Linked DNA regions of Oryctolagus cuniculus. The protein of the gene in region 3 purifies or fractionates together with the protein of the main gene of each other region. This does not show direct contact. Links are inferred from orthologs where the notes say so. Each region holds a gene or a part of one and is shown on either strand. Other genes may lie near its edges.

What was found.
Region 1: the proteins of PRKAR1A (region 3) and VAPB purify together in Homo sapiens (affinity purification with mass spectrometry; 3 studies listed by BioGRID and IntAct, counting the BioPlex papers as one, with this or other methods). This does not show direct contact. The link is inferred for Oryctolagus cuniculus from reciprocal best matches to the Homo sapiens genes PRKAR1A and VAPB.
Region 2: the proteins of PRKAR1A (region 3) and DYRK1A purify together in Homo sapiens (affinity purification with mass spectrometry; 6 studies listed by BioGRID and IntAct, with this or other methods). This does not show direct contact. The link is inferred for Oryctolagus cuniculus from reciprocal best matches to the Homo sapiens genes PRKAR1A and DYRK1A.
Region 4: the proteins of PRKAR1A (region 3) and VAPA purify together in Homo sapiens (affinity purification with mass spectrometry; 3 studies listed by BioGRID and IntAct, with this or other methods). This does not show direct contact. The link is inferred for Oryctolagus cuniculus from reciprocal best matches to the Homo sapiens genes PRKAR1A and VAPA.
Region 5: the proteins of PRKAR1A (region 3) and AKAP11 purify together in Homo sapiens (affinity purification with mass spectrometry; 3 studies listed by BioGRID and IntAct, counting the BioPlex papers as one, with this or other methods). This does not show direct contact. The link is inferred for Oryctolagus cuniculus from reciprocal best matches to the Homo sapiens genes PRKAR1A and AKAP11.

What each region holds. Positions count from the first base shown.
Region 1 is NC_091442.1:3,792,044-3,798,038, reverse strand, and holds the start of VAPB (vesicle-associated membrane protein-associated protein B/C), read left to right. Parts: upstream 1-2,034; 5' UTR 2,035-2,259; coding exon 2,260-2,317; intron 2,318-5,995. UniProt on the Homo sapiens protein: Endoplasmic reticulum (ER)-anchored protein that mediates the formation of contact sites between the ER and endosomes via interaction with FFAT motif-containing proteins such as STARD3 or WDR44.
Region 2 is NC_091435.1:7,580,834-7,586,614, reverse strand, and holds the start of DYRK1A (dual specificity tyrosine-phosphorylation-regulated kinase 1A), read left to right. Parts: upstream 1-1,853; 5' UTR 1,854-2,662; intron 2,663-3,192; exon of another isoform or gene 3,193-3,267; intron 3,268-3,343; exon of another isoform or gene 3,344-3,409; intron 3,410-3,984; exon of another isoform or gene 3,985-4,108; intron 4,109-5,781. UniProt on the Homo sapiens protein: Dual-specificity kinase which possesses both serine/threonine and tyrosine kinase activities. Exhibits a substrate preference for proline at position P+1 and arginine at position P-3.
Region 3 is NC_091448.1:11,159,373-11,165,287, forward strand, and holds the start of PRKAR1A (cAMP-dependent protein kinase type I-alpha regulatory subunit), read right to left. Parts: upstream 3,776-5,915; 5' UTR 2,644-3,775; intron 2,429-2,643; exon of another isoform or gene 2,245-2,428; intron 1,191-2,244; exon of another isoform or gene 1-1,190. UniProt on the Homo sapiens protein: Regulatory subunit of the cAMP-dependent protein kinases involved in cAMP signaling in cells.
Region 4 is NC_091441.1:67,078,398-67,084,456, forward strand, and holds the start of VAPA (vesicle-associated membrane protein-associated protein A), read left to right. Parts: upstream 1-2,156; 5' UTR 2,157-2,437; coding exon 2,438-2,516; intron 2,517-6,059. UniProt on the Homo sapiens protein: Endoplasmic reticulum (ER)-anchored protein that mediates the formation of contact sites between the ER and endosomes via interaction with FFAT motif-containing proteins such as STARD3 or WDR44.
Region 5 is NC_091440.1:61,458,419-61,463,761, forward strand, and holds part of AKAP11 (A-kinase anchor protein 11), read left to right. Parts: coding exon 1-2,126; intron 2,127-5,343. UniProt on the Homo sapiens protein: Binds to type II regulatory subunits of protein kinase A and anchors/targets them.

The DNA.
Region 1 (5,995 bases), on a different chromosome or scaffold from region 3:
GAACCTCGGGACAGGGGGCTAGGATTCCAGCACAGAACCTCGGGACAGGGGACTAGGATTCCAGCCCAGAACCTAAGACAGGGGACTAGGACTCCAGCCCAGAACCTGGGGATGGGGGGATTAGGATTCTGGCCCAGAACCTAGGGATGGGGGGACTAGGATTCCGGCCCAGAACCTTGGGACAGGGGACTAGGATTCCAGCCCAGAACCTAGGGACGGGGGGCTAGGACTCCAGCCCAGAACCTGGGGATGGGGGGATTAGGATTCTGGCCCAGAACCTTGGGACAGGGGACTAGGATTCCAGCCCAGAACCTAGGGACGGGGGGCTAGGACTCCAGCCCAGAACTTAGGGATGGGGGCTAGATTCCGGCCCAGAACCTAGGGACAGGGGACTAGGACTCCAGCCCAGTACCTGGGGATGGGGGTTTAGGATTCTAGCCCAGAACCTAGGGATGGGGGACTAGGATTCCGGCCCAGAACCTAGGGATGGGGGCTAGGATTCCAGCCCAGAACTTAGGGATGGGGGAAGGATTCCAGCCCAGAACCTAGGGACGGGAGGCTAAGATTCCAGCCCAGAACCTAGGGACAGAGGACTAGGACTCCAGCCCAGAACCTAGGGACGGGGACTAGGATTCCAGACTCCAGAGCCCTTACGTTTCAAGGGGACAGAGTACAGATATTCTTAAAACATGAATTTATATGAACACCTGGCAAAAATTCTAGGGTAAAATTACTCCTCAAACAACATAAATCGAGTGTGTAAAGTAGAATTAGAAAAAAAGTCACCTCTAAAGAAGCAAGAAAGGAGAGGACAAAACCAACCAACAAAGCCCTCAGGACAAACAGAAATGACCATGGTAGAAATACAGTCCAGGCATTCAGTGACTATAACAAGTGTTAGTGGTCCAAACGCTCAAGCTGAAAGACAGAGATGATTTTTTAAAAACACCTTTATTGTGAAGAACGTGGAGCACACAGAGAAGTGGGGAGAGCAGCATGAACAGCGCTGGCGAACCGGACAGGCGGGGCCGGCCGAGCGCACCCGGGACCGGGTACCCGACAGGCACCGCCCGAGGCACCCGGGGCCGCGTACCGGACAGGCGGGGCCGGCCGAGCGCACTGGAGCCCGCGTACCGGACAGGCGGGGCCGGCAGAGCGCACCCGGGACCGCGTACCGGACAGGCGGGGGAGGCCGAGCGCACCCGGGACCGGGTACCCGACAGGCACCGCCCGAGGCACCCGGGGCCGCGTACCGGACAGGGGGGGCCGGCCGAGCGCACCCGGGACCGCGTACCCGACAGGCACCTCCCGAGGCACCCGGGACCGCGTGCACAGGGGCCGTCGGGGTGACAGAATGAAGTGGCTCTAAAGGCAACAAGGATGCCCAGCGTCCACTTCCGAGGGGACGCGGATCTGGGCCCCGGCAGCGTTCAGCCACGCACTGCGTCTGCCTCTCCGCACCCGGCCACGGTCGCGGGGTGCAGATCTGCCCCCTCTTAGCCGACGGCTTTTCTACACATCTGTTACATGTTTAACGCACAGTGGCTTTTACGTGAAAAGCACCCGGTAGAGCGGCGGAAAACGAGCGGGCAGTAGCTGGCAGTTGGTTGTACCTCGCCCGGACCGCGCACTTTCTAACAAGTTCCTCCCCCAGTGTTCACAACCTCGGCGCCTGGCACCGCGGGAGCCAAGTGCAAGTGTGCATTAACTGTCCCCGTCCCGCTGGTGGTCGCCACGGCCGGCCCCCAGCGGGCCGTCCACCCGCAGCCTCGGCCCTGGACTGCCGGCCCTGCAGGGCACCCTCCGACCCCGCCCCCGAGCGCCGCCAAGCCCCGCCCCCCGAGGCAGCCCCGCCCCGCGCCGGTGCCGCGCCTGCGCGCCGGCCGCCCCCCCCCCCGCGGGCCTCCGCGCGCGCAGCCTCTGGCCCCGCCCCCCGGAGCCGGCGCAGGGCGCAGCTTCCCGCGGCCCGAGCCAGCCAGCCGGCCGGGTGCGTGCGTGCGTGCGTGCGTCGCGGCGTGCGTGCGTGCGTGCGTGCCGTGAGCTCGCCGGGCACCGCGGCCTCGCCCTCGCCCTCCGCCCCTGCGCCCGCAGCGCGTCGGCCGCCCCCGCCCCGCCCGCCGCCCCCCGCCGCGCCCGGCCCGCGCCCCCGCCGCGCCCCCGCCGCGCCCCGCTCTGTCGCTCTCCCGGGGGGCGCGGCCTTGGCGCTCGCGGCGCAGGTGACCTCTCGGGTCTGCTGGCCGGAGGTGCCCGCCGACGACCATGGCGAAGGTGGAGCAGGTCTTGAGCCTCGAGCCGCAGCACGAGCTCAAATTCCGAGGTAAGCCCGAGGCCGCCGCCGCCCCGCGCGCGCCTCCGCCCCGACGGCGCCGCTGCGGGGCCCGGCCGGCCGGCGGGGGCCTTCGAGGCCCTGGCCGAGGCCCGGGGCTGCGCCGGCCGGGAAGGGGCCGCGGTGCGCGGCGCCAGCCTGGCCCCTGCTGCCCGGCCCGCTGCGGACAGCCGCGGGGGCCAGGCCGAGAGGACCGGGCCTCGCCAGGCGCGGCCGACGTCCAGCACGTGCCCGACGGCGCGGTGCAGGCCCTCCTGTCCCCAGGACAGCCTGGCGCTGGGCACCAGGAAGCCGCGAGCCACACCTCCCCCGTGGGAGGCTCCCGCGCGGGCCGCTCCGCTGTCACGCGTTCGTGTCCGTGTCCCGGGACCTTGTCTGACTTGGCGTTCCCGCCCAGCGCACGTCCTGGGCGTGGGTGGACAAGACGGACGAGGCCTCCGCCCTCGGAGCGCTCCCCGGCCGCCGCAGGACACCGGATCCCGGGAGGAAGTGGCGCTGGCCGACTGGACAGGTCGGCGTGGCCCGGCCAGCAGCGGGGGCTCCGTCAGGCGTCTGCGCGGGGCTGGCCGCGGGCACCGGCTTCTGTGGCCTGCGGTGCCCAGTTGGCAGACGGGGCACGTGGACCCCCGCTTCGGAGCGCGCACTGCCCGTTGTGCTGCCCGACCCCTGGGCCTCGTCCGGAACTGTGGCTGCTGGAGTCCCGGTGGAGCGTGGAGTGACCCCGAGGTGGGAGCCCGCGGCGGCCTCGCGCCTTCGGTGGGAACCCAGCAGAGGCCACGGGGACCCTCGCCCCGCGGCCTGCGGCTGCGCCTGCGCATAGGGCAGACGTTTAGGGGAAGCCACGCTTTCCAGTTGCGATTTTTTTTTTCCTGGGAGTGAGTGAACTGCAGCTCCCAGTCAGCCAGCGCCGCTGCCGCGCGTGTTTCTGCACGCGTGGGGTGTGCGGGGTCCGGCTCCGTGTGCGTGCGCGCTGCCTTCGTTCGGTGCGTCTGGGCACGGGTGAGGCAGGCCAGGCAAAGCCGTGACTCGGGTGCGCCCGAGATAACGTTTAGACTCGACCTTGTCGTCACCCGACGTTGGGTCCCTCCGGGAGAGCGGCGTGTGGCTCGACCTGGTGAAGGGGCCTCGGGACGGGCGTCCAGGGAGCCGACGCGGACGCGACGAGCTGTCTGCAGTGCTCCGGATAGCTGGCCTGTGCGCCCCTGGGAGTTGGCGCCTCCGCGCCTGCGGTCCACGGACGTTTCCCGAGTGCCTGTCCCACGCCAGAGGAAGCAGGACGGCCCCACTCGCTGCCTCCAGCGCTTGAAGTCAGGAGGCGGTGGTGGTGCGGCCATGCGAGGTGGTGCCGGGTGCCCCGGGCGATGCGAGGTGGTGCCGGGTGCTCCGGGCCATGCGAGGTGGTGCCGGGTGCTCCGGGACCGGGCCGTCCGAGCTGCGCTGCGCGGGCGCAGTGGAGGCAGGCGGGACGTGGGGGCCCTCCCGCGGGGCAGGGGTGCCGAGTCAGCTGGTTTCCTGGGACACGGCGGCGTTCCCACGACGGCGGCAGAGGACACCTGTCAGGGTTGCAGGACGACGTGCACACAGGGTGGTAGTGGACAGGAGGTGCCGCTGCTGTCCAGGGGGAGGCGACTCCCCCCACCCCCGGCCCTGGTGCTGTGTCCTCCTGTGTGACGTCACGGAGAAGGGCCCTGGTGCAGAGAACTCCAGTTTCTGTCCCGGTTCCTCACGTGAAGATGCGTGAGCTCGGGCTGACCAGGTCACTTCCAGCGCCTGGTGCCACTGGTGACTTACGGGGTGACACTCGAGGCGGCCCTGTCTCCTGTGGAAGTTTGGAGGGAGTCGCGGTAGAGGTGTTACCCTGCTCGCAAAGTGCGTGGTTCTGTACGGTGGTCAGCGGTTGTATATTACAACCCTGGAGGTGGTGGGCGGTGGCTGAATAATACTCTATGGAGGTCAGAGGTCAGCGGCTGTATATTACCGTGTGGAGGTCAGTGGTCAGCGGTTGTATATTACCGTGTGGAGTTCAGAGGTCAGTGGCTGTATAGTATTCTATGGAGGGGGTGGTCAGTGGCTGTATGATACTGTGGAGGTCAGTGGTCAGCGATTGGATAATACTTTATGGAGGTCAGAGGTCAGCGGTTGTATATTACCGTGTGGAGGTCAGTGGTCAGTGATTGTATTATACTCTGTGGAGGTCAGAGGTCAGTGGCTGTATAGTACTCTATGGAGGTGGTGGTCAGAGGCTGTATAGTACTCTATGGAGGTTGATGGTCAGTTGTGTAATACTCTATGGAGGTCAGAGGTCAGTGGCTGTATAATATCTATGGAGGTCAGAGGTCAGTGGCTGTATAGTACTCTATGGAGGTGGTGGTCAGCAGCTGTATGATACTCGGGAGGTCAGAGGTCAGTGGCTACATGATACTGTGGAGGTCAGAGGTCAGCAGCTGTGGAATACCCTATGGAGGTGGTGGTCGTGTTGTACCGTATGGAGTACTGGAAGCACAGGGCTGTAGAGAGTGCCAAATGCCCAGTGCCCTGTGCAGGTTGGCAGGTGTGCGGTGCTGTACGGAGGACTGAGTGCAGGGCTGTACATTTTTGTAAAGTACTGCAGCGAGTACTGAGTGCACAGTGCTGTGGAAGTGGTTAGGTGGCACAGTACTGTTTACAGCACTGAGTACAGAGTGCTGTGCAGAGTGGTGGTTGTAGACAGCTGGTTTCTCACTTCCACTGTTCTACCTGGAAGGCGTGGCAGCGGACGGTGATCTCTGTGGCCATGGGCTGACTGATGTCACGGTGGCCAAAGTCACTGGATGCTTTTGCCAGGAAAGTGGCTGAGAGAAGGTGTGGGGTCCGCCTGCTGAGCCTGTTAGCCTGTGCCTTGAGAAGAGGCGTCTGGTGCATGTGTGAACCACGTCGTGGGCCTTTTGTTTGTTGGGTTGTTGTTTTAAACTGAACACCAGGACGATAAAGTTAGAATAAAGACTCAGTGCCTGGGGCGGACCCTGAAGCGTAGTGGGTAAAGTTGCCACCTGCAGTGCCAGCATCCCGTATGGGCACCGGTTCGAGTCCCAGCTGCTCCTCTTCCGATCCAGCTCTCTGCTATGGCCTGGGAAAGCAGTAGAAGATGCCCCAAGTCCTTGGGCCCCTGCACCCACATGGGAGACCTGGAAGAAGCTCCTGGCTCCTGGCTTCAGATCGGTGCAGCTCCAGCTGTTGCTGCCAACTGGGGAGTGAACCAGCGGATGGAAGACCCCTCTCCCTCTCCCTCTCCCTCTCCCCCTCCCCCTCCCCGTCCCCGTTTCCGTCTCTCTCTGTGTAACTCTGACTTTCAAATAAATAAATAAATCTTTAAAAAAAAAAAAAAAAAGGACTCAGTGCCCTAGCCTGCTGTGTGGATAGAGCATTCGTTTCAAGGTGAGAAGTGGCACCTCTAACGGGCCCCTTGCAGGCTACTCGAGGTGACAGTTCTGAACTCTGGCCCTTCACCCGGATGGATCCAGCCTCTTCTTTGCCCCCCCCCCCCATGTTTATTTTCTTTTTCTTTTTTTCTTTTTTTTATTTTTTGACAGGCAGAGTGGACAGTGAGAGAGAGAGACAGAGAGAAAGGTCTTCCTTTTGCCATTGGTTCACTCTCCAATGGCCGTTGCGGCCGGCGCACCGCGCTGATCC
Region 2 (5,781 bases), on a different chromosome or scaffold from region 3:
TATTATTTAAATTTCAATTGTTTAATACAAAAATGAGTTCATAGCACAATTGTAATTAGACAAGGCATGAACACACCTGCTGGTGTGAAATGTGTGTCAGTGCACACATGTCTTCTTAAGAAAGTCCGGAAGGGTGGATGCTGTTATGAACATACAAAGGGGGTGTGTTCCTGAGTGATGCCTACTGGTGATCCTAGCCTACTTACTGTTTTCTGTATGGTAAAATTGTTGGTAATTACCAGAATCTAATTTTTAGTTTTTGTTTGGAACTTGGATATAGTTGCTTATTAACTTCTTGGTTCATAGCATACCCCTATTGTGAGTTTATATAGGGCCTCTCTCATTTTAACTTTGCTTCTTTTTAATAAGTTTTTATATTCATGAATTACTTTTAATGTCAGAACAACGTTTTAAAAAGATTTATTGATTTACTTGAAAGTCGGAGTTACACAGAGAGAGAGAGAGACAGAGAGAGAGAGACACAGAGAGAGGTCTTCCACCTGCTGTTTCACTCCCCAGATGGCCACGATGGCCGGGGCTGGGCCAAGCTGAAGCCAGGAGCTTCTTCCAGGCCTCCCACTTGGGTCCAGGGGCCCAAAAACTTGGGCCATCTTTGCTGCTTTCCTAGGTGCATTAGCAGGGAGCTGGATTGGAAGTGCAGCAGCCAGGACTTGAACTTGCACTCCTATGGGATGCTGGTGCTGCAGGCAGAGGCTTAACTGATTGTGCCACATGGCAGGCCCCAAAGTCAGAACAGTGAATAACGCTTGTACAAGCAGGGCGATGAAGGGCTTCACTTGTCTGTAAGAACATCAGGGGTGTCAGAAATTGTGAGCGCAGAGATAAGAACACTGGCACCAGTCATCTGGGACCAGGGCACATCATAGAGACCTCCTTTAGTCAGGGTTATCTCTGTGACAACTCTGCTTCCAAACAGTCTGCCGAAACACAGCCTTTACAGCCACACCTGGGTTTGAATTCTGACTTCCCCTGCTCACGGGTGGGCCGGCTTTGGGAGAGTCACTTCAGGGCTTGCTTTCTCAGCCGTATAACCGAGATACAATGTTATAGTGAGGATGAGACCTCTAACAGGCGTGGGAAGAAGTGCAAGCCGATAGTAACTGCCAGTTGGGGGATTCTGCTTCTCCGGATTTTCTTAGGCCATCAAACACCTCTAAGCGAAACCCACGGGGAGGGTCTCTCAGCTCTGCACCACACTGGCATCCATACCAGCGTCCTTCCTGGCTACGTGTGTTCTCTTGTTTGGTGCCAGCCATAACTTGCTGGTAGTGTTTAGGGGAAGCCCACACAAAACCCGTTGGGCACGCAGTGCGATGCTGTCTAAGGCAGTCACGCTGGGAGAGAAATGAGCAGCGTTCTACACGGGAACACTGGGGACGCCTCTGACCCCTGTGTGCCTACGACCTGAAGACTTCCCTCATCCCATGAGCCCCTCGACCCATCTGAGGCGAGGATCTACTCCCGGCGATCTTGTCCTATTCTGTCTCGGTTACTTAGATGTGCATTATGCAAGCTTCCTCCATTGCTAGCAATGAAAACTTGACTCGGGAATAACTTAGTGGTCAAGGTGGCACTTGCTCAAGTGTCCGGCAGCAGTGAAACCTTGGCGGATGGGCTGGAGTGGGGAGAAGGCAGGAGAGCAGGTGGAGGGAGGAAGGGGTTGTCTTCCAGGTGGAAGTTTGAGCTTGGGAAGCACTGGGTGACAACCTCTTTCATGAATAGGGACACTGTTGGCCACTTCCTCTTCCTTAGATGCGAAGCTGTATGCAGACCTCAATTACATTAGGAGGGCAAGTTTGAAAACACCAGCAATCCAGAACTTTTATTTTTTTTAACCAGTCATGAGAATCAGTCTGAAGCTAACCACTTGCCTAATTTTTTTTTTTTTTTTGCCAAATTTATTTAAGGTCTGGTCTGATTACTTCAGGGCCTTTGCTCATTTGAATGATCGCCTTAATATATCAGTGCTGTACCTGCAGACTGTGGGAGGGGAATTCTGCTGGAAATTTACACAGGCTGGAGGCTTTCATTGGGATTTCTCCTCTTACACCTGTGTCGTCTGTCAGATTGTGTCTGTGGCTAGTCTGTGAAGAGACTGAGCCCAAGACCCCGACACGGACACTACCTGCACACGGCAAAGTCAGGCTTAGAAATCAACCACCAGATTAGCGACTTTCGCTGCGTGCAAGCCCGGACGAACGCTGATTAAACACCATTACCTGGGGGGGCGGGGGTGGCACAGCAGACAATTCCCAGCACGCCCAGCATGGGGAGGGGTCCACGGGCTAATGCACCAGGAGCCGGATGTTAGGGAAGGGCTCCGGCCGCGGGCAGCGCAGGACGGGCTCGGCACCCACGCGGGGTCTGCAGTGGGAGGGGGCGCGCCGGCCCGGAGGCTCGGACGTGGGTCCCACGTGGCAGGGCCCGGCCGCGCGTCAGCCGCAGGGGCACCCCGGATGCGGCCGCGGCGCCCGGGATTCCTGGGATGTCTGAGGCGCGCGGGCGGCCTCCTCCCCGCCCCCGCCGCGGCCTCCGTGGGCATTTTCCGGCGAGGGGGGCCGCGAGCCCTTCCGAGAACGGCTCCTCCGCGCGGCCGTGCGCGGCCGGCGCGCTCCCCGGGAATGCAGGCGGCCGCACCGCGGTGAGAGCCCTCGGGCCCGGGCGCGCGGGGGTGGGCTTCCCGGCTTCCCGCCCGGCGGCGGCCCCGGCGCCCCGGCCCCTCTCCGCGCCCCCCCACCCCGCCCCGCGGCCGCGCGCGCCCCTCCCCCCGGCGCGGGCGGGGCTGCGGGCGCCCGACGCGGAAGCGCGGGAGGCCGCGCGCGCTCCCGGGGCCGCAGTCGGCGCGGGCGCGGCGGGCGCGGGGCGGGGCGAGGCGGCCGGGGAGGCGGCGGGCGCTCGCGCACGGGCCCGGCCGCCGCCTCGCCCCCTTCCCCTTCCCTCCCTCGGCCCGGCCGTCCCCCTCCGCACCCCTCCCCCGAGCGAATCACGCGCCCTCCTCTGACACTCGTAGCGGGCCCGAGCTCCGAATTTATCCTTCACGTGACCTGAGGGGGGTTGGGTGGTTGGCTGGGGACCGAGGGGGAGCAGGAAAGGAGGGAACGAAGTCTGCCGTTTCCCGGGCAACAAGCCCCGCCCGCCGGCTTGGGGCCGGGGGGGCGGGCGGAGGACGTCAGCACGTCAGCCGGGGTTTTGCGTTTTGATTGACAGTTGCCATAGCGACCGGGTCGGTCCGTCGCCATTTTGTTGGTTGGTTTTTTTTTAAACCCTTTCGCTTCCCGCCCGAATAATAATAAAAAGCCCCATTGGAGTGAGGCGGGGGTGGCGGCGGCAACCGCGGCGGGGGGATCCGGGGAGACTGCTGCCGTCGCTGCTGCTGATCGCGGCCCAGGTCGGGCTCGGGGAGCGGACACCCCGAGCGGGGGGTGCGGGCGCCGCCGCCGCTGCCGCCGCCGCTTCTGCTGCTGCTGTTCCTGCTGCTGCTGGTGGTGCCGCTGCCGCCGCCGGCCAGCGAGCGAGCGAGCGGGCGGGCGGGCGGGACCGGTGTGAGTGTGCGAGTGTGTGTGTGCGAGCGAGCGGGCGTGCGTGCGTGTGCGAGTGTCTGTCTGTCTGTGCGGGCGCTCGGGGGCGGGCGGTTCGGGCGCTCCTGGCGGAGAAGCCGCCGCCGCCGCCGCCGCCGCCGCCGCTCGGGCCCGGCGCTCCTCGCTGCGCAGGTTTGGAGCGCGCGCCATTTTGTGCGATTTACAAAATCCTCCTCGGGAAGAAGCCGCCGGCAGCGGCCGCCACTCGGCGCCCGGCCTCGCCGCCGCCGCCGCCGCCCTCCGCGCGGCCCCGCCGCCGGGACTCGGGGCCCGGGGACTGCGGTATTTGCCGGGGAGGGGGCTGTCGCCGCCCCGGCCCCCGGCGCCGCCGGACCCGCGAGCGCGAGAGACTGAGGAGGCTGCGGCGCGGCCAGGAGCCGGCCGCGCCGGGGGCGGCGAGAGGCGGCCGGGGCGGCGCTGGCTGCGGAGGCCGCGGCGGGAGCGCGGCGCGGGAGCCCGAGGCTGAGACTCACCGGAGGGAGCGGCGCGAGCGCCCCGCCATCGTCCCGGTGAGTGTCCGGCCCGGCCCGGCGCTCGGCTCCGCCGGGCCCGGCGGAGGGAGGGACCTGCCATTTTAGGAGGAGGCGCCGCGGGGCCCGGGGCCGGCCGCCGGGGGAGGGAGCCCGCAGCCGGGTCCCGGCGGGGCGGCGGGTGCGCGCGGAGGGAAAGTTGCGGAGGGTGGGAGCGGGGGCCGCGGCCTCCCGGGAGCCGGGCCTTCTCTGGTCGCCGGGGCGGAGGGAGGAGGCTGTGTTCCTCCTCCTCCTCCTCCTCTTCCTCCTCATCCTCTTCCCCCAGCTCCTCCCTCGTCCCTCCTCTAGGTCCCCACCAGTGTGGGAGCCGCCGGGGTTCTTCGCAAGGACAATGCACGGGTTAAGGGAAGCGGGGCCGCGCCGGGCGCCGGCGAAGGTCGGGGCCCGCTGGCTCGGCGGCCCTCGGGGGTCCGCGCCGGGTGGGGGTGGGGCGGGGGACGCGGCGTGCTCGGAAGTTGGGGCCGGAGTGCGGGGGAGCGGTGACCTGCTTAAGCCGCCGCGGAGACGCGAATTAAAATTGATACCTGTGTATTGCTACAAAACTTCGCGAGTCTATTTATAGGCACAGACCCGCCGAGGCTTCGCAGGCACCGGGGCCGCCGACTGTCTGAGCATTCGGCGAAGGCCTCCCCCCGCCCCCTCCAGCCTGAAACAGTTAAAAATGGCAAAATTAGTGAGTCAGTGGTTGCCTGTGCCTTTCGCCCGTCCCTGGATCCTAGGACTCCCATACTGCAGGTGCAGCGCTGGAATGCCAGCACCGTTTGCTTCTGGAATTCCGCCCCGACGGTCGGAAGAGACCCCCGTCTGCATTGTTTTCCGCATGTAGAGATTAGGGCAGATGGTGGCTGGCACTCCTCTCACGGCTTTGGGGATATTTTACCCCGTGTGCTGCCGGTAGGAGGTGTTAACCCATTTTACAGATGGGCACATTGAGCCCGGAGAGCGGGCAGTGACTCCTCCAAGGTCACACAGCTGGGGCTCCCGGAGCCAGGGGGCTGGCTAGGTTCTAACTAGCAAATTTCGGAACGACTTGCGTGCAGTGACTCAGGGTTCGATTCTAAGAGACTGTGTCTGTCCACTTACGGTTTCTGGCATGGGATTAACTTTGTAGTTTGCAGAAGTGGAGATGCAAAGCGGAGGTGAGCCTCTTTAATGAGACTTGCCAGCCCTCTCTCCCTGAAGAAAACCAGGCAGTCGATTTTTGAATGGAAGGAATTAATATTCCTTGGTGCTTCTTAGTCTTCACACTTAATTTTAATTATAGACATCCTTAAAGTGTTATGAGTCATAAAGTTTTGTGTAGTTATTTTCAGTCATTTTTCCCTTTGAATATTTAGATTTCTTCTGTACCTCATACATGTGCAAAGTGTTTAATAATGAATACACTTGGTACTTTGATTTCGAGGTATTTTAGTAATTCAGTGGAATTACCTTTAGCCTTTTTTTTTTAAAAAAAATTTATTCATTTGCTTTAAGAGGATATACTCCTTTCAGATAGGTAATAAATCTGAAGCTAGAGCTAAAATTTGGCACGCCAAGGTTTTAAACTGAAGAGGATTGTTTCAGAGAAACGGTGGTTTAAGGAAGAAGTTTATTTGGTTATAGTCGAGCTGTTTCATGTACGTATGACTTAGGCCTGCCTGGAGTACTCC
Region 3 (5,915 bases):
GCAAAAGAAAGCATGCTGCCGGGGGAGTGTGTGACCGGTAAACAGGCAGAGAATTACAAGTGAAAGCAAGCACAAGGAGCAGCACCTGACATTCCCTGACCCATCCGAGTCCTAATGTCACACAGCACAGGACCAGACTGCCCGCTAGTAGCTTCATCACAATTTTTTAAATCCCAAAAGGAACCCCAGTGGAGTTTTTAAAGTAACCTTTTCATTCTGGAACCTCTCAACACATTCCAGTCCTAAATGAGAGGGGAAATCCTTCAGAGCGGTGGGGGAGGGCAGGGAAGGGAAAGACCCCTTAGGACCAGAATACTGTCAACAGAGCTCACTCGTGTGGGCAGAAAAATGCTAAATAAAGCATGTTAAGTTTCAAGCCTACATGGAGATCCACTAATTAGATCCCATGTAATGGATTTTAGAAGGTTCAAACTACCTTGAGGAGAAGTAAACAGAAATCTAACAAGGAGCAGCTAAGCTTATCTAGAATTGAAAGCATGGTAATTTAACAACAGGACCATCACAGCTTCCCTCTGGACTCCCAATTATGCAGTTAAATTTAGAAGAGAAGAGTGTTTCCCCACCACTCTGCAAATGAATTCAACATCAATCACACTTTTCTAATTACAATGCACACAAAACCAGACACCGAACTGTAAATTTAAAGAAAAATACTTAACAGCTATTCCAAGTGCTACACCTTACTCTTTTTGCTTTGACAACTTTCAGGATAAAGGTCAGTAACAAGCAGACTAACACACAAACCAGGAGAAAGTTTGGGGCTCCCCCCTGACAGGCACATAAACTTCAAGCCATGGAAAAACAATCATGCTACTACTTAAGAAATAAACACGAAAAAGGAAAAATTTTGAAGTGTATTTCCTTTAGATTTATACCAGCTGCTCTTCCAGGTCGGGTAACCACATGACCTGAAAATCCACTTCGGCAGAGGCCCAGTTCAAACAGTACCGGAGGCCAGCAAGAACAGGGATAACTCGGATCTTTATGCCTCGAAACACGCGGGCACACTGGAGGCTTATCAGTACCGGTATTCAACTGATGACAGAAATCGTTCTCTAAAACTGGCTCTCCAGCTGGTAGAGACCAAAGAACTCGCCCAAGAGGCGAAACTGGTTCTTGCTGGTTTGAAACAGACCAAGATATTAGGCGGGGGAAAAAAAAAAAAAAGCAAAAACACAACACTGGGAGAGATAGGACACGAACAAAAACACCCCGAGATTAAAGAAGCCAGCACGTGAAGCCCGAAATGTCCAAATGTCGTGGGCTTGGTATTTTTAAGGGAACAGGCCTGAATTAACTCTGTGTTTGTAAAGGGCCAGAGAACTCTGCTTCTCCCCGCCCTCCAAAAAAAAAAAACACGACTTCATATTTCAACATTTTCGCTACACGGTTTCTACCGAAAACCAGCCAAGTGTTTCCTTCCAGAAATCCAGGCGTGACAACCATTTCCAAAGCGCAACTTCGAGGCAATATTTAAGACCCGTTCTGCGCAAAGGGCTCCAGATTTCGGGCCGCACCCCCCTGGGGGTCACCGACAGGAAGCCTTCGCTCGTCCGCCCTTCGCCGCCGGACAGCCCCGGCTCGCGCGCCCCGGGCCCGAGGGGTTAACGCCCAGCTCCCAGGGAGAGGCCGCGGTCGCGACCGCCGCGGGAGGGGACAGCGGCCCCTCGCCCGGCTGCTCCGGCCGGAAGGGACATCGGGAAACCCAGGGAGGTGAGAGCGGACGAAGACCGCCGCGCGCGGGGCAGCGACCGAGACGGCCCGGAAATCGGCGAGGAGGAGGAGGAGGAGGAGACAGCCTCCTCGGCTGGGTCGCGGGCTCGGCCGGCAACGGACGCGGCTTCGCCCAAGACCGAGCTGCCGTCGCTGCCCTTCAGCAAAGGGGCGAGGGCGGCCGAGGAGGCCGCGGCGCGCGGGGGCGGAGGCGGCCGGGCGGCCTGGGGCCGGGGGACCGCGCGCTGCGGGGCGGCGGGGCGGCGACGGGACGGCCGGGTGCCCCGCACCGCAGCGGACGCCGCGGCGGCCGGGAGCGGGGATCTCCGGGGTGCAGACCCGGAGCCGAGGGCGTGATGCCCGCGGGGAGCGGCTGGGGGTGCGGCCGTCCCCCTGCAGGTCGCTCCCCGTGACGCCATCTTGGGTCGGCCCAACCCCCCCCCCCAAAAAAAAAAGAGGACGCCGCGGTGGCGAAGGCCGGCGCCGGGGTCTCTAGCAGAACCTCCTCACCTGCGGACGCTCGGCGGCGGACACGGGGCTGCGAGTACGAGGCTGCGGCGTGCGGGGCTCCCTCACCGACTGCTTCCCACCCCGCTGCACTCCGCGATAACGGCACGGCGGCGGCCCCACCGGAAACGACCCGGCCGCAGCCAATCAGGGCTCGGCTGCTGACGTCAATGGGCCTCGCTTTGGCCCGCGCTGTCGCCTTGGCAACGTTAAAGGCGCAGCGGCCCCAGGGCCTCCCCCGGCCTCCTTCCAGGGACCCACGCGCCCCCCTCGCCCCCGGAGTCTCTGCCTCGGCCTCTCCTCGTCCGTTATCCGCAGCCTTTTCTTCACGCCCGTCTCTTCCCGCACGCCGCCTGGCCTGGGTCTTCCCTCCCACCTGGTCGGGCACCTGGGCCGCCTTACCTGTCCTATGCAGGTGTCTCGGGTCCTCTATTCTGTGCCTCTCTTGGGCTCCTCTCCGCGCCCCCCGTGTCCCCTCCGCGCTCCTCGGCTCCTCTCCTCCCACTCTCCTGCCTCCCTCCACGCCTCGGCCTTTTCTCCCTCCCTTCGCCCCCTCCCCGCCGGCCCACGTGGGGCGCCTCTGATGACAGGTGGGCGACTCCGCCCTGCGGCCCGGGCAGGGGGGACGCCTGCAGCTTCCAGGCCCCCGGATCTGCAGCAGCTGCGCGGCGGCCAGAGCTCGGACGGATGCCCGGGACGCGCACGCCCTGCAGCGCAGGGCTCGGGGCTGGGCACCGCCATCCGGTCCCGGAAATCCGAGCCCCGCCGCGCCTCGGCCACACCATCCCTGGGGGGACGAGACCCGGTCACGGACGTTGTCTTTCCGAACCCCAAGCGCCCCAGGTCCTCACGCCTGGCCGCGGCCCGTGAGCCGTGCCAGGCCCCGGGTCTCCGCGGCGGCGCTGCCTGCGCTGGGGGCATTCCCCGGGGGGCAGAAAACGACCTTCCTCCTTCAGCCATTTCTTTGTTTTTCCTCTCCATCAGAGCGTCTGCCGGTGGAGGCCGACGCGTGAAGCCGCTACATGGGTAGAGAAATCCCAGAGTCTGGCCGGGAACCGCGGCTCGCGTCGCGTTTCGGTCCCAGGCCATAGGTGTAAAATACAAAATGGACTTAACCCTCAAAACCAAAAGATCTCATCAGTAATTTTTAGATGGATTCCGGGTTGCCATCATAATGGTTTTGGATATTATTAGCTTCAGCGATCTTGGAATTTATTTCACTTTTGTTTTGTTTTGTTTCTTGCTCTTTTAGTGGAGTTGTTTTTAAAGCTGCACCGCCTTCCCTCTGCTCCCTGGAATCCCGCGATTAGAGACCTACTTGTCAGACCACTTCTTTTCTCCAGCGAGGTCCGCCCTTGCTTTCTAATAGAGGAAGCATTGGCCATGCCGGAGTTAGGCCTTGAGCCGGACAGCGCAGGAACCAGCTGCTGCTCCCCCTGAACCCCATATAGGGACCCCTGGCCTCTTTCCAGGGATGAGTGGAATGGGGGATTAAAGATAGAGCCCCAGTCGTGTAGGATTTCACCCTCGTGGGTACAAAGACGAGCTGACAAACCCAACGCTAAGCTGGCAAGCAGGAGGGGGAATTTGATAGCATTGAGCAGGCCCAGTCATGTTCCAGGAAGAAAACACTGCAGGCAGACAAATCAGTTTGGTTTCCGGCTCTTGCCATCACCGGTAATTGAGTTAATCTCCCTTAGCCTCAGTTTCTTCAGTGGGAAAAAGGACAAACAGGGCAGTGTTAACGTTAACTGATGGGAGATAACAGCGAACACACACAGCGCTCGCCGTGTCCAGGCACTGTTCACATTAATAGTGGACTTGCTCCTCATAACACATTTGTGATGTGGGTGTTCTGATTACTGTTACAGAAAAAAAAACAGGACACACCGAGACATTAAGTGACTTGACCTAGGCCACGCAAGCTAGACACAGCCAGCGGTCGGAAATCAGTCTCCTTTTACATATTTAGTGCTCCATACAGTGTGGGATACATTAAATAAATGTTAGTTACTTCCTACTTCTCCCTGTTACAAAAGAGCCACCAAGTTCAGTCTGAGGGATGCTGTGTCACAGCTTTAGTATTGCCTTCCTACAGCAGCTGAGACCCTTAGAATAAGGAAAGGAGCAAGCTGGTGACATTGAACAAGTGCTTTGGTTGACGGCTGCTTCCTTGCTAAGACCGGGCGGTGTGTGCCCATTCAGCTACATGCAGGCACCAGTCCAGCCACGGGCTGTTTCCTGTGTCAGCGCCTGCAACCTTGTTCTAGCTGCCAACTCCGCCTATGCTGGGCTTTGGAAGACAAAAAGGGAAACAGCGTAGAGAGTCGAGCCTGGCTGGGGAGAGTTCACCGAGACAGCTGTTCTGAAAAGCCAAACAGCCTCGCTGCTTTCCAAATGGTGCAAGTGATCTTTCGTGCCATGGGAACGCCAACTTGTAAATTACCTTTCAGAAATGACTCCTGTTCCACTCCGGTTTCTTGATGGTTTCCCTTCTCCCCGGCCTTCTGCCCTTGACTCGAAGCTCTGTTCGCCTTTTCTTTGGCCTGTATCTCTGACAGGCTCAATAAAGTAACTTTTTTTTTGACAGGCAGAGTGGACAGTGAGAGAGAGAGACAGAGAGAGACAGAGAGAAAGGTCTTCCTTTTGTCATTGGTTCAGCCTCCAATGGCTGCCGCGGCCGGCACACTGTGGCCGGCACACCGCGCTGATCCAATGGCAGGAACAAGGTACTTATCCTGGTCTTCCACGGGGTGCAGGGCCCAAGCACTTGGGCCATCCTCCACTGCACTCCCGGGCCACAGCAGAGAGCTGGCCTGGAAGAGGGGCAACCGGGACAGAATCCTGCGCCCCGACCGGGACTAGAACCCGGTGTGCCAGCGCCACAAGGCAGAGGATTAGCCTAGTGAGCCGCAGCGCCGGCAATAAAGTAACTTTTCAGAATAGTGGGACTGCAAGTAAATTGTCCTCCAAAATAAAATTCCATAATTGCTGTTAAGTATCCATGAAACAACAGCAAAATGTTGTTTAAGCAAAATAAACATCAATGATACGGGTTATAAGCAGAAGGAAAATTAAAAATGGCTACAATGTAAAAGGGAGGAATACTTTGGTAATCTATTTCTTAGTTAAGTTTCCATTGGTGGAGTGGACACTTAGTCCAATGGTTAAGATACTACTTGGGGCCGGCGCCGCGGCTCACTAGGCTAATGCTCTGGCTGTGGCGTCGGTACTCCGGGTTCTAGTCCCTGTTGGGGCGCCGGATTCTGTCCCAGTTGCTCCTCTTCCAGTCCAGCTCTCTGCTGTGGTCCGGGAGGGCAGTGGAGGGTGGCCCAAGTGCTTGGGCCCTGCACCCGCATGGGAGACTGGGAGGAAGCACCTGGTTCCTTGCTTCGTTTCTGCTCAGCGCACCAGCTGTGGCGGCCATTTGGGGGTGAACCAACGGAAAAGGAAGACCTTTCTCTCTGTCTCTGTCTCTCTCTAACTCTGCTTGTCAAAAAAAAAAAAAAAAAAAAAAAAAAGACACTTGGGATGTCCACATCCCATAGCAGAGCTGGGTTGGAGTCCCAGCTCTGATTCCGGTTCTAGCTTCCTACAAATGTGCACCCTGGGAGGCAGTGGATGATGGCTCCAGTGCTTGGGATCCTGCCACCCATGTGGGAGACCCAGATGGA
Region 4 (6,059 bases), on a different chromosome or scaffold from region 3:
ATCTGGATGCTCCACTTCCAATCCAACTCTCTGCTATGGCTTGGGATAGCAGTAGAAGATGGCCCAAGTCACGTGGGAGACCTGGAAGAAGCTCCTGGCTTTGGATCAGTGCAGCTCTGGCCGTTGCAGCCATTTGTGGAGTGAACCAGCAGATGGAAGATCTCGCTCTCTCTCTCTCTCTCCTCCCTCTCTGCCTCTTCCTGTGACTCTGCCTTTCAAATAAATAAATCTTAAAAAAAAATACTAGATATACAAATTCTTACTCATTTTAAGACTGTACCTGTACAATTTTTGAAGCAATGAGAGGAGAAAAATTGTGGGTTCTAAAGATGGATGACTTAAGTGGGCAGAGCTTTCTTAATGATATGGACTGGAAACTGGAATGTATCCAGTTCAGGCTTCCCATTAAACCTGAGATTGGGCAACCATTGTTTCATAAGGGAGTGATTGGGAACTTCCTGCGCACGCTGTCTTGCTAATTGGCTGTTTGCACACTGGTGATTCTCAAATGTTTTTGGTTAAGAGAGTTGTCTGCCTTACTGTGGAGAGGCCCCTTAAAACAGATAGCTTGTCCCTGGGAAAGACACTGGTAAGACACTGTGATTTACAAAGGCTTTTAGGATCCTCAATAAATAAGTAAACGTATGTGGGAAACCATTCTGTGGACTGATTGACAATCTCAATCTATTTTTTTTAGGCTTAAGCCCTTCTCCTATAAACATACAATTTTTGGATTCTCCTTCATTGATTATTATTGGCATTTCAAAAATGTTTTGTGAGTAAAGAAAATCAAAGGGAAAACAAATTTAGCATCTGTGTTTCTAACTATTTAAGCCTGCCTATCCTTCCAGGTTTTTTGTGGCTGAAGATCTGTTCCTCCTGTGTGGCACAGTTTCCTGTGTGTGCTGGATTAGCTGATCTGCAGAGCTATTTCCGGATGGGTTCTGGTACCTGGATTGCACAGGAAAGGTCGGACTTTGTGCCTCTGTCCCGTCTGCTGTTCCATTTGTCTCATTTGTTTTCTAGACAAACTGGGCTGCTCCTTCATGGCACCAGCATCAATGCCCTTTGTTTTCTGATGCTTCCTAGGGATTTAAATTCAAGCAGCAGCATACAATGCAATGATTTATTTGCAACGCATTCATTTGTTTCATTTGCTGTTCCTGTCCCCGATTACCCTGGCAATCGGTTGATGATTTGTCAGCAACTTTGCGGCGGGGATTTTCTTCATTTTCGTTTCAGTTTACTACAGGCTATCATAAGTGATGCAGATGATATTCGTTTCTGACACGTGAATGTGACAACTGTTTTGGTTCGGATCCGTCATTAATCAAAACTGAAGAACAGAATACAGCAACTGAATTCAGCGCTGCAGATTCTGACTTTCATTTCTCGCGTTCTAACATGTGCTTTGTCATATCTCCCCCAAGGCGCCTCTGCTTCTTTCACGAGGTCCGTTTCCTCATCTCTCTTTGCATCACTGGAGCGAATTCAGGAAGCAGGCGAGGTTGGATGGGAACACGACAGAAAATTCAGCCCTACCAATAGACGGGTGGATAGAACTACAGAGCAAACTGACAAATCCCTGCTGTAAGGGTTGGGGGGGAGCTGCAAGTCAGCCTTCGAAAGTTTTTTTCTTTTTTAGCGCGGACGAGACGCTGTCTGAGAGCCAAAAAGAGAGTCGGCGGGCCCCACCCCACTCTTCTCCAACGGACCTCATTCTCCTTCCCGCCCGCAAGCAGCCGCTACTACAATTCCCAGAAGGCACCGCGCAAGGCCGCAAAGGATCAGTCCTTCGGCGGAGAGTCCTCCCCCGGCAAGGAGCATGCTGGGAGTTGTAGTGAATCGGCGCTTCCCGGCTACTTCCTTCCATTAGGCATTTCCTTTTGAAAAATGGTGATGCATTGCCGTGGCAGGTTCCCTAGTTTCGCACTTTGCGCTCAGCGAGACGGAGGGCTGCGCCTCTTGCCCAGCGCTGCGAAGGGCGCCAGTCCCTTGCGGGCTTTACTCCGCCCTCTGTTCACGCCCGTTCCCTTGACAGCTGGACTGTGCTCGCGGCCGCGAGGCCGGGGACGCGCAGGCGCACCAGCCCAGTGCCGCGCTAGGCAGGCCTCGAGGGCGGGACGGACGCCAGAGCCTCTCTCGGCCGCCGGGGCGCGCACGTAGGCACGCAGAAGCTGTCACGTGGGGCGCCGAGGATCGCAGTGCGCGTGGCCGCGGCGGCTGGTGTGGGGTTGAGTCAGTTGTGAGACCCGGCGCTGCTGACCCAGCGGGCGACCCACCAGACCGGCGACAGAGCGGCAGGCGTCGGGGCTCGGGATCCGTGAGCCTGGCCCCCTCGTAGAGATCCGCCGAGCCGGCGCCGCCGTCGTCCCCCGCCCCCAGCCAGCAAACCGCCGCCGCCGCGGGCGCGCCCCCGCTCTGCGCTGTCTCTCCGATGGCGTCCGCCTCCGGGACCATGGCGAAGCACGAGCAGATCCTGGTCCTCGACCCGCCCACAGACCTCAAATTCAAAGGTTAGGCAGGAGGAGGACACCTCCGGGCAGGGAGGGGGCGAGCAGAGGGCTCGAGGGCAGGTTGGGGCCGCGGCCCCAGGGAGCGCCCCCTCCCCCACGCCCGGGCGCTTTCCATTTTCCGGCGGCTCCCTCGCCGCCTTCCCGCGGCCGGCCAGCCCCTGCCCGCTCCCTCCGTCGCCCGCGCCTCGCTGCGCGCGCCGGCCGGGGCGAGGAGGCGGGCGGGGTGGTGGTGGTGGGGGTGAACCGGCCCGGGCGCCGCCGCCGCCATCTTGCGGTCCCGCGGGGGCGCCTCCCGGGTGCAGTCGGCCGCGGGCTCGCGTCCTTGGCCCCCGAGGCCCGGGGCGGGCGTGGGTGAGGGGCGGCCCGCGAGCGTGCGCCCGGGTGTGCAGCGGCGCGGGGCGTGTGGAGGTGGCGCAGGCCGGCGTCTGGCTGTCAGCGGCGAGGGCGGGCGCGGCGGCCCTCGGACCCGCGGGAGGAGTGAGGGCCGCAGCTCGGGCCCGGGCGAGCTGGGTGGGGCCGGCCCCTGGGTCCTGGCGGAGGGCGTCGCTGCCCGCCTTTTTGTCCCGTGGGTAACTCAGCTGTCAGGGAACCGGAGCGCCGGGGGAGGCGGAGAAGCGCTCATGAGTGCGCTCCGGACTGGTCCGGAGGTGTTGGCAGAGCCCCAGGCGCGTGCGGGCCGGGAAGGCCTGCGTCAGCCCCGAGTGGATCGCCGTGGGCTGCTCGGAGTGGGTCTGCCTGCCCCTCGGCCGTGACGTCTCCGCGCGCGGCAGACCCGTGGCGGCGCCTTCGTAGCCCTCCACTCGAGTTCTGCTGACTTTGGCCTTTGCGTTTGCGGCCCCCCCTCCCCCCCAAACCCTGAGAAGGGTGATAAGGTGACACCCAGCTCTGGAACTCTGCTGATTTCAGGGCTCTGCCTGTGATGGAGTGAGTGATCGGTGTGTCTTGGTGACCCCGTTTGGTCCATTGGCTTTCCCGTATGCAGGGTACTTTAGGGAAACGAGTTAAACAGGTTACACTTTTTTTTTTTTTTTTTTTTTTTTTAAAGGAATCCTCATCGTGCGAAGATCTAAATAGAAAGCAGGTTCTGTCTTTTCTTTGGTTGACTGCAAAGTGAATCCCCGATTTGGAAGGCAGGGTCTTGTGTTTCAGTTGCAGTAGCTTGGATGAGACCGATTTTGGTGCGGTGTATGGCAACTCCAGTGCTAAAAGAGACAACTGAAATCCTTTATTGTTGTGTAGAGTTGAGTCCAAAAGAAAAGTCCGCGAGGAAATTTTAAAATAGTTTTAGGAAATGGAAAAATAATATCTTCTGGCATTGTGAGAGTAACAGTTGTATGATGACTTTGCAAACTGAGTGAATTTGCAAATCTAAATGGAAACCTAAGTGAGCTGTTAGGTAAGGATTTTGTTCGAAAGGCAACTCTTAGGGCATATTTTGAGGTGTAGCCAGCACATTCTATTGTAGCAAGTGTACCTGTTCCATGATAGTACATAGTTTTAGCGGGAGGGGGACCTTTGAGGAATATGGTGTAATTATACCCTACTCAAGTAGCCGTTGTCTTAAGTTGAAGGAATTTAATGTGATGTATATTTTTTCAAGAGCATTTTGATTTTACGTTTTGACTGGCTGACAATAGGCAGCTTCTGCATAAGCATAGATGGATTGTCATTAGGACTTAGAAGCCTTTAAAACAAATTTTAGGTCAGGATGTCTGCAGTTGACAGGTTTCTCCCTAGAGAGGTTATGATGTCGCTTTGGTAATATTCATAGTGGAGAAGCAAGTTCAGAAAACAACCAAAGACACGACGACACACACAGTAACTTAGGAAGCAGGTTCCACAACAGAAACTTAGAAACTGTCTTATTCATGCATTTCACGTGTTGTGAGTACCTGGTAATACACAGCTGTGATGTTAGAACGGGTTGTTCTCGCCTTGTGGAAGAAGTCGTCCAGAAAAGGCCAGTGAGTGCAGACCACGTTACCGAGGCGCAAACACCTCTGAGGAGCAAGGCCCCCCTCCTCCACCTTTCGGAAGCCGCCCGGGAAGAGGCTGCTTTCCAGTTGTCTGGAGGGCTGAGCTAAGGGAGTGGCTGAGTAAACACTGCAGTGGAGAATGCCAGGCGCAGAGCGGACCGAAGTTTCTCAGGGAGTGTGTGCTGCTTTAGAGGTGGGTTCACGGGGAGCACGAGGATTGGGGGAGAGGAGCAGTGCAGTAAACTAGTGGCTGACAGTTTTGGTGCTTGGTTTTTTGCCTCCTCAGTGTTTTTCAAAGGTTGCCTTTCGTTGTGGTGGAAACTTGTCTACATTTAAGTGGACGGCACAACACCAGCTGAAGAGACTTATTTAGAATCAGCCGTCTATTTGTTGTGCCTGGTTTGATGATGACACTAAGACTTCGTTTGTCCTAAATCACCCTTAACTTTTTGTTTAAAGGAATGCCTGTTAAAAGTGCATTTTGCAAAATTCTTTTTGAATACTTAATTTAAATGTTGATTTTTATCTACTTGAGAGAGAGAGAGAGAAAATCTTCCATTGGTTGGTTCACTTCCAAATGCTGCAACAACCAGGGCTGGACCAGGCAAAAGCCAGGAGTCTGGAACTTCATCCTGTTTTCCCACATGGGTGACAGGGTCCCAAGCACTTGCGCTGTCATCCATTGTCTCCCAGGATGCATTAGAGAGTTGGATAGGAGGGTTGCGGGTATCCCAAGAAGTGGCTTAACCTGCTGGCCACAATGCTTGGCCCTTGCAAAATTCATTTTCATTTTATTTTTGTCTCAAAATAAGATGATCTCTTCGGGAGTGTCTCGTTTAATTTTTCTGAGCTGGGATCCCTTTGTTTCTGGAACTCATTTATCTCAAGATGAATTGTCAGCACTTTGCATAATTCTGGAGGAGATACCAGCTTAGTTTTTTTCTACAAATCTCAGTATTTAAGAAGGCACTGTTTTGTGCAATTGTTAATATATGAAAGTGCATTTATAAGGATGTAATTTTTAAGGATTTATTTATGTATTTGAAAGGGAGAGAAAGAGATCTTCCATCCCCCAGTGAAGCATAAATCTCATTACTCTGTTCCTTAAAAGTTTTCTAGTAGTTCTCAGTTGCCTATAGGAACAAGTCTATTTTATGAGGATGGCATACAAGCCCTTCTGTGATGTGATGCCTCCTCTGTAACACCTGCACATCTGTACACATCTGTGCTTTTTTCCTGAGAAGGAAAAACTCTTCCATAGCTGAGGTTCTTTGTTCCTGTTTTTGCTGGGGAAGGTCATGGTTCATACTTACACCATGTACTATCCTTTCTCATGTTTTCAGTGACTAGCTTTTTTTTTTTTTTTAAACATACAAATACACTGTCTTTTCATTTTGAAAACAAATAGCAAACAAAATGCCTCCTTGGCCCCAACTCCTAGTACCTGTCCTTCCCAGTCTTTGATTTCCATTGCATTCACACTTGGAAAAGTAGTCCAGGGTCACTGGTTCCTCACCTCCTGTTCAGTCCTCCTTCATCTGCTGTCCTCCTCTGCTCCATTACTTTC
Region 5 (5,343 bases), on a different chromosome or scaffold from region 3:
TGTTCACTTTCAGTTGGAAAGGAATGTGTTCTAGAACATAAAGGTTCTATGGCTCATGGATTTCCTTTGGAGACACTGCCAACTTATCCAACCATGGCAGGTCAGAAACTTGATTTGACAGAACTTGCTAAGGATAAAACAGTGAAAAAGCATAATGTGAAGAATACAGCACTTGAGCCCTTGACTTTTGGACAGGAAAATTCCTTTCCTCATTCACATGCTTTCTCGTCTTCAGTGCTTACCTGTGTAGATGGCTTTCATGTGGAAGACAAGCCAAAAATCAGAGACAGAAATGTAATACCTGACACTCCTCCATCGACTCCTCTGCTACCATCCCAGGCCAGTTCTGAGTGGGATATTAAGAAGTTAACCAAAAAGCTGAAGGGTGAATTAGCCAAAGAATTTGCACCTGCTACACCACCTTCCACCCCTCACAACTCATCTGTTGGTAGTTTGTCTGAAAATGAACAAAATACCATAGAGAAAGAAGAGTTCATGTTGAAACTCATGCGGTCTCTTTCAGAAGAAGTTGAAGGCAGTGAAGATGAAGAGCACCCACAATTGGATGTGAAGTCAGAGCACTTGGGGAAGAAAGTTCAATTTGCCGACGGATTAGCTACACACATCATTTCTGTGGCAACTGAAATGGCAGCTTCCCACTTAGATAATAAAATAACTCAAGAACCCAAGGGTAAATGTGCTTACTTGGATGTGCAGAGTCAAAGAAATGCATCGCCTACTTTTTTAAATTGCTCAGCTGAAAATTTGCAAACATTGTGCAGTTTTGCAGGTGATATGGCAACAGAAGTCATTACAGAAGCTGAGAAAATTGCAAAAGCTAGAAGTTGCATGCTTTTTAGGCAGAGGAAGAACAGTTGTTATCTTGATGGTGACCGAGATTATCGATCAGAAGAGAGATTAAATATGGACGTTATAGCACACCCAAGAGAAGTGGACCCATTTCTTCTTTCATTACCACCAAGTTCTTGTATGTCAGGGCTGATGTATAAGTATCCCAGCTGTGAAAGTGTGACAGATGAATATGCAGGCCACATTATCCAAATACTAAAACAGGAAGGTGGTAACAGTGAGTTAATAATGGATCAGTATGCCAATAGACTTGCTTATCGATCTGTTAAGTCAGGATTACAAGAAGCAGCTAAGACAGCCAAAGTGAAGTGCAACGCAACAGTGTTTCCTGTGCAGAGCTCACAGGTGAAGACAAACAGTGAGCTGCTAATGCTTTCAAATAAAGAGCACCACCAAGAAATAGATAAACAAAGACAAAGTAAAAGAAATGGAGGTTACCTTTGTAAAACTCACACTTGTGAAAGGACACAGGATACTTACAGAAGTGAGTGCTCTGAACTGTGTAGTTTTTCAGCCTCTCTTGCTCACAGTATAGCAAGAAACGTTAAAAAAGAACTGACAGAATCCACAGTTGGCTTGCCAAAATCCTTAACAGAGCCTTGCCTTTATGACAGATCGGTGTGTGTTGAAGACACTGAGCATCGCATTGAACCAGAATTTCCTAAATCTCCTATGCCTTCCTCTCGGCATCACAGATTTTACCAAAGAACGGGCAGTGTTACTGGACATGGATATGGAGAGAATGTTGTTCAAGCTATAGAACAGTATGCTAAAAAAGTAGTGGATGACACTATAGAGCTAAGTTTAGGATCTGCAGTTTCCCAAGTGTCTGATGCCACAAGATCAGCAGATAGGCTCACTTATGCTGAAAAGCTGTCACCACTTATAAGTCGAGTTTGCAGATACTGTGACCTTAAAGAACTTCATGATTGCACCGGAAATTCATCTCAGCACTTTCCCAGACAGAGTTCACTTTCTTGTAGGAAGCCAATTTCAAATTCAAAATTTAGCAGTGTCTATCAGAAATCAAAAATTTTTCATCTTGATGTCCCTCAAATTCACGTTAACCTTGATAAGAAGACGTTGCTTGCTGAGAAGATAGTTGCTGAAGCAATTGAAAAAGCTGAGAGAGAGCTGAGCAATGCCAGTTTGGCAGCTGATAGTGGCATTGGGCAAGATGGTGTTAGCTTCGCTGAAAGCCTTACCACAGAAATAATGACATCAGCCATGACAGATGTTGGCCAGGCTGTTAGCTGGTAAGTTTCAAATTTAACATGAAAAGTTAAACTCGATTGTGTTAGGCCCTCTTTGGAGATACTGTTATTTTTAATCCTAAATTAACAAAAATTTTCCCTATTCCATTTGTTATTTCATATCCTGTGGCAGACTCATAGATTCTGTCTCCTGATCCCTTTTGAGCTGGAAGATGAGTTAGTAGCAGATCATTACTTTTACAAGTTCACAGAGCTATTGCGTAGGTAAAGTTGAATGAAAGAAATAGCTGGGGAATTTGGAATGTTACCATGTTAATTTTCTACTCTAAGGTTAAATTTTCATATAATGTTTTCTTTGCCTGCAAGGTAAGTTTTCTTGTAGACAGCTTGGATTAATCCTACTGCCCTGGGGCAGAAAACAGAAATTCTCCAAATACTTATGCTTCCTCTTTTGATCAGCTCACAATCTAAAGGGATAGTTCTTTTTGATAGTCTTTCAGGTCTTGTCTTTGAGTAGCTGTCTCTTGAGTTCAGTGATTCTAACAACTTAGTTAATGTTTTTACTTTTTTCCCTTTTCAAATTATTGACACATAATAATTGTACACATTTATGGAATACAAAGTGATAGTTTCAGTGTATGCAAGTGTAATCTAATCAGGACAGTTAGCATATCTGTTACCCAAAACACTTATCATTACTTTGTGTGAAGATCATTCAAAATCTTTTCTTCAAGCTATTTTAAAGTACACAATAAATTATTGTTAACCCCTAGTCACTCTAGTTTGTAAAGAACAGTAGAACTTCCTCCTCATCTTTACCTGTGTTTTTGTACTTGACAACCAACCTCTTTTTTTAACCTTATTTCTCCCTGAGAAAACATTGGTGCCAACCTGTGTTACTTGTTTGCAGGATTGTATTTTCTAAGTCTCACTGGAAAGAGAAATGCTCGGAGTTAAGGTGGAATTTAATGGATTTGTGTGCTATCCTGGATTGTTGAGTAGTTTTTGTCAAATGTGACTAGGATTGCTTCTTTTTTCAGTCATCTTCAAAGAGGGAGCTTGGCCAGGGCTCTTGAATCCAGTTGTTCCATGGCATCCTCTTGAGATGAGAGATGCTGCAGGTTTCTGGTGAACTTGGGGAGCTTTCTGTTTGCCAGATATACTCCACTGCTTGTTTTTGTATAGACTTCAAACTAAGAATGATTATGTATGACATGTGAATGTCCATGGGAAATTGTGTGATAGTGATTTTTTTTTAAGATTTATTTTACTTATTCGAAAGAGAGAGAGAGAGAGAGAGAGGGAGAAATGGAGAAACAGAGGTCTTACATCCACTGTTTGACTCCCTAAATGGTCACAATGGCCAGGCCTGGGCCAGGTTGATGCAAGGAGCCAGGAGCTTCTTCCTAGTCTCCCGCATGGGTGCAGGGGCCCAAACACATGGCCTTCCTCTGCTGCTTTCCCAGGCACATTAGCAGGGAGCTGGATCAGAAGAGTAGCAGCCGGGACATGAACCAGTGCCCAAATGGGATGCTGGCACCTAAGGCAGCAGCTTAACCTGGGAAGTGAATTTTTAGAAGGGCAGAACCTCTAGACTACATTCTGAACTATCATTTTTCTGAGCTAGAATAACCCAGCAGTCATCAAAAACTCTTCTCTAGACCTCATCCTGTGGATCATTTCAGCCAAAAGCCAAATGAATGTGACACATAACAGGAAAAGGGCTCAAAGAAGAAAGTAATGCTCTCTTGTGGTCCACAACTGTAATATGCCTGTCCTTGGACTGCCTAATAGAATAATGCTGATTGTTGTGTCTTAAGTAGAAAGTGAAAATAGCCCAAAGAAAGAGTGCAGTTCAGGAGTTGTTCTAGCTATTGAGCATTCAGAAGTTAAGTAAAAAAGGCAAAAAAAAAAAAAAAATCTGTCTTCTTTTGGAGTTTAATTTTTTAACACTTTTTTTTTTTTGAAGATTTATTTTATGTATTTGAAAGAGTGTAACAGAGAGAGAGAGAGAGAGAGAGAGAGGTTTTCCATCCACTGGTTCACTCCTCAAATGGCTGCAACGGCTGGAGATGGGCTAATCCGAAGCCAGGAGACAGGAGCTTCTTCCATTCTCTCATGTGGGTGCAGAAGCCCAAGGACTTGGACCATCCTCTGTTGCTTTCCCAGGTGCATTAACAGGGAGCTGGATCAGAAGTGGAGCAGCCAGGACTTGATGAACCAGTGTCCATATGGGTTGCTGGTGCTGCAGACGGTGGCTTAACCTGCCATGCCACAGCACTGGCCCCTCTCTTGAAGGTTATAGTAGACTGAGATAGACAATAGATAAGTATAATGTATAGTATATCACTTGGTGGTAAGTGCTTCAGAGGAAAAATCAAAGAGAGTAGCTCTGAGTGGAGTAGTTTGGGCTGGTTTGCAATTTTGAATAGGTAGCAGGGATTGCAGTGGTGGTATTTTAGGACTTTTGTTCCTGTTCTGATTGGTGAGAAGCCATTAGAAGCTGTTTTTGTTTGTTTATTTTCATCTATTTGAAAGGCAGACACACACACAGACATATATCTTTTACCTGCTAGTTCACTCTCCAAATGCTCACGACAGACAAGGCTGGACCAAGAGCCGAGAATTCTGTTGGGGTCTCCCAAGTGGGTGGCAGAGTCCCTAGCATGAGCCATCACCTGCTGCCTCCCAGGATACTTCAGCAGGAAGCTGGATCAGAAGCAGAGTAGTCAGACTAATACTTGAGTACCAAATGTGGGTATCCTAATCTGTGGCTTAACCCACTGTGCCACAATACCCACCCCCAGTGTAAGATTTTGATTAGAAGATTGACATTTTCCCTCTTCACATTTAAAGACATCACTTTGAACTTTTTTTAATTAAATATTAGGAGGCAAGCAGATAGGTGTTTTTTTTTTTTTTTTTTTTTTTTTTTTTTTTTTTTTTAAGATTTATTGATTTATTTAAAGATAGAGTTACAGAGAAAAGAAAGGGGAAGAAAAAGATCTCCAGATGGCCACAACAGCCAGTGCTAGGCCAGGCCCAAGCCAGGAGCCAGGAGCTTCATCCAGGTCTCCCATGTTGCTGGCAGAAGCCCAAACTCTTGGGACATCCTCTGCTACTTTTCCTAGACCATTAGCAGAGAGCTGGCTCAGAAGTGGAGCAGCGTGACTAGAACCAGCACCCATGTGGGATGCCTCTCATTGCAGGTGGTGGCATTACCTGTTACACCACAATGTCAACCTCACTTTAAACTGTT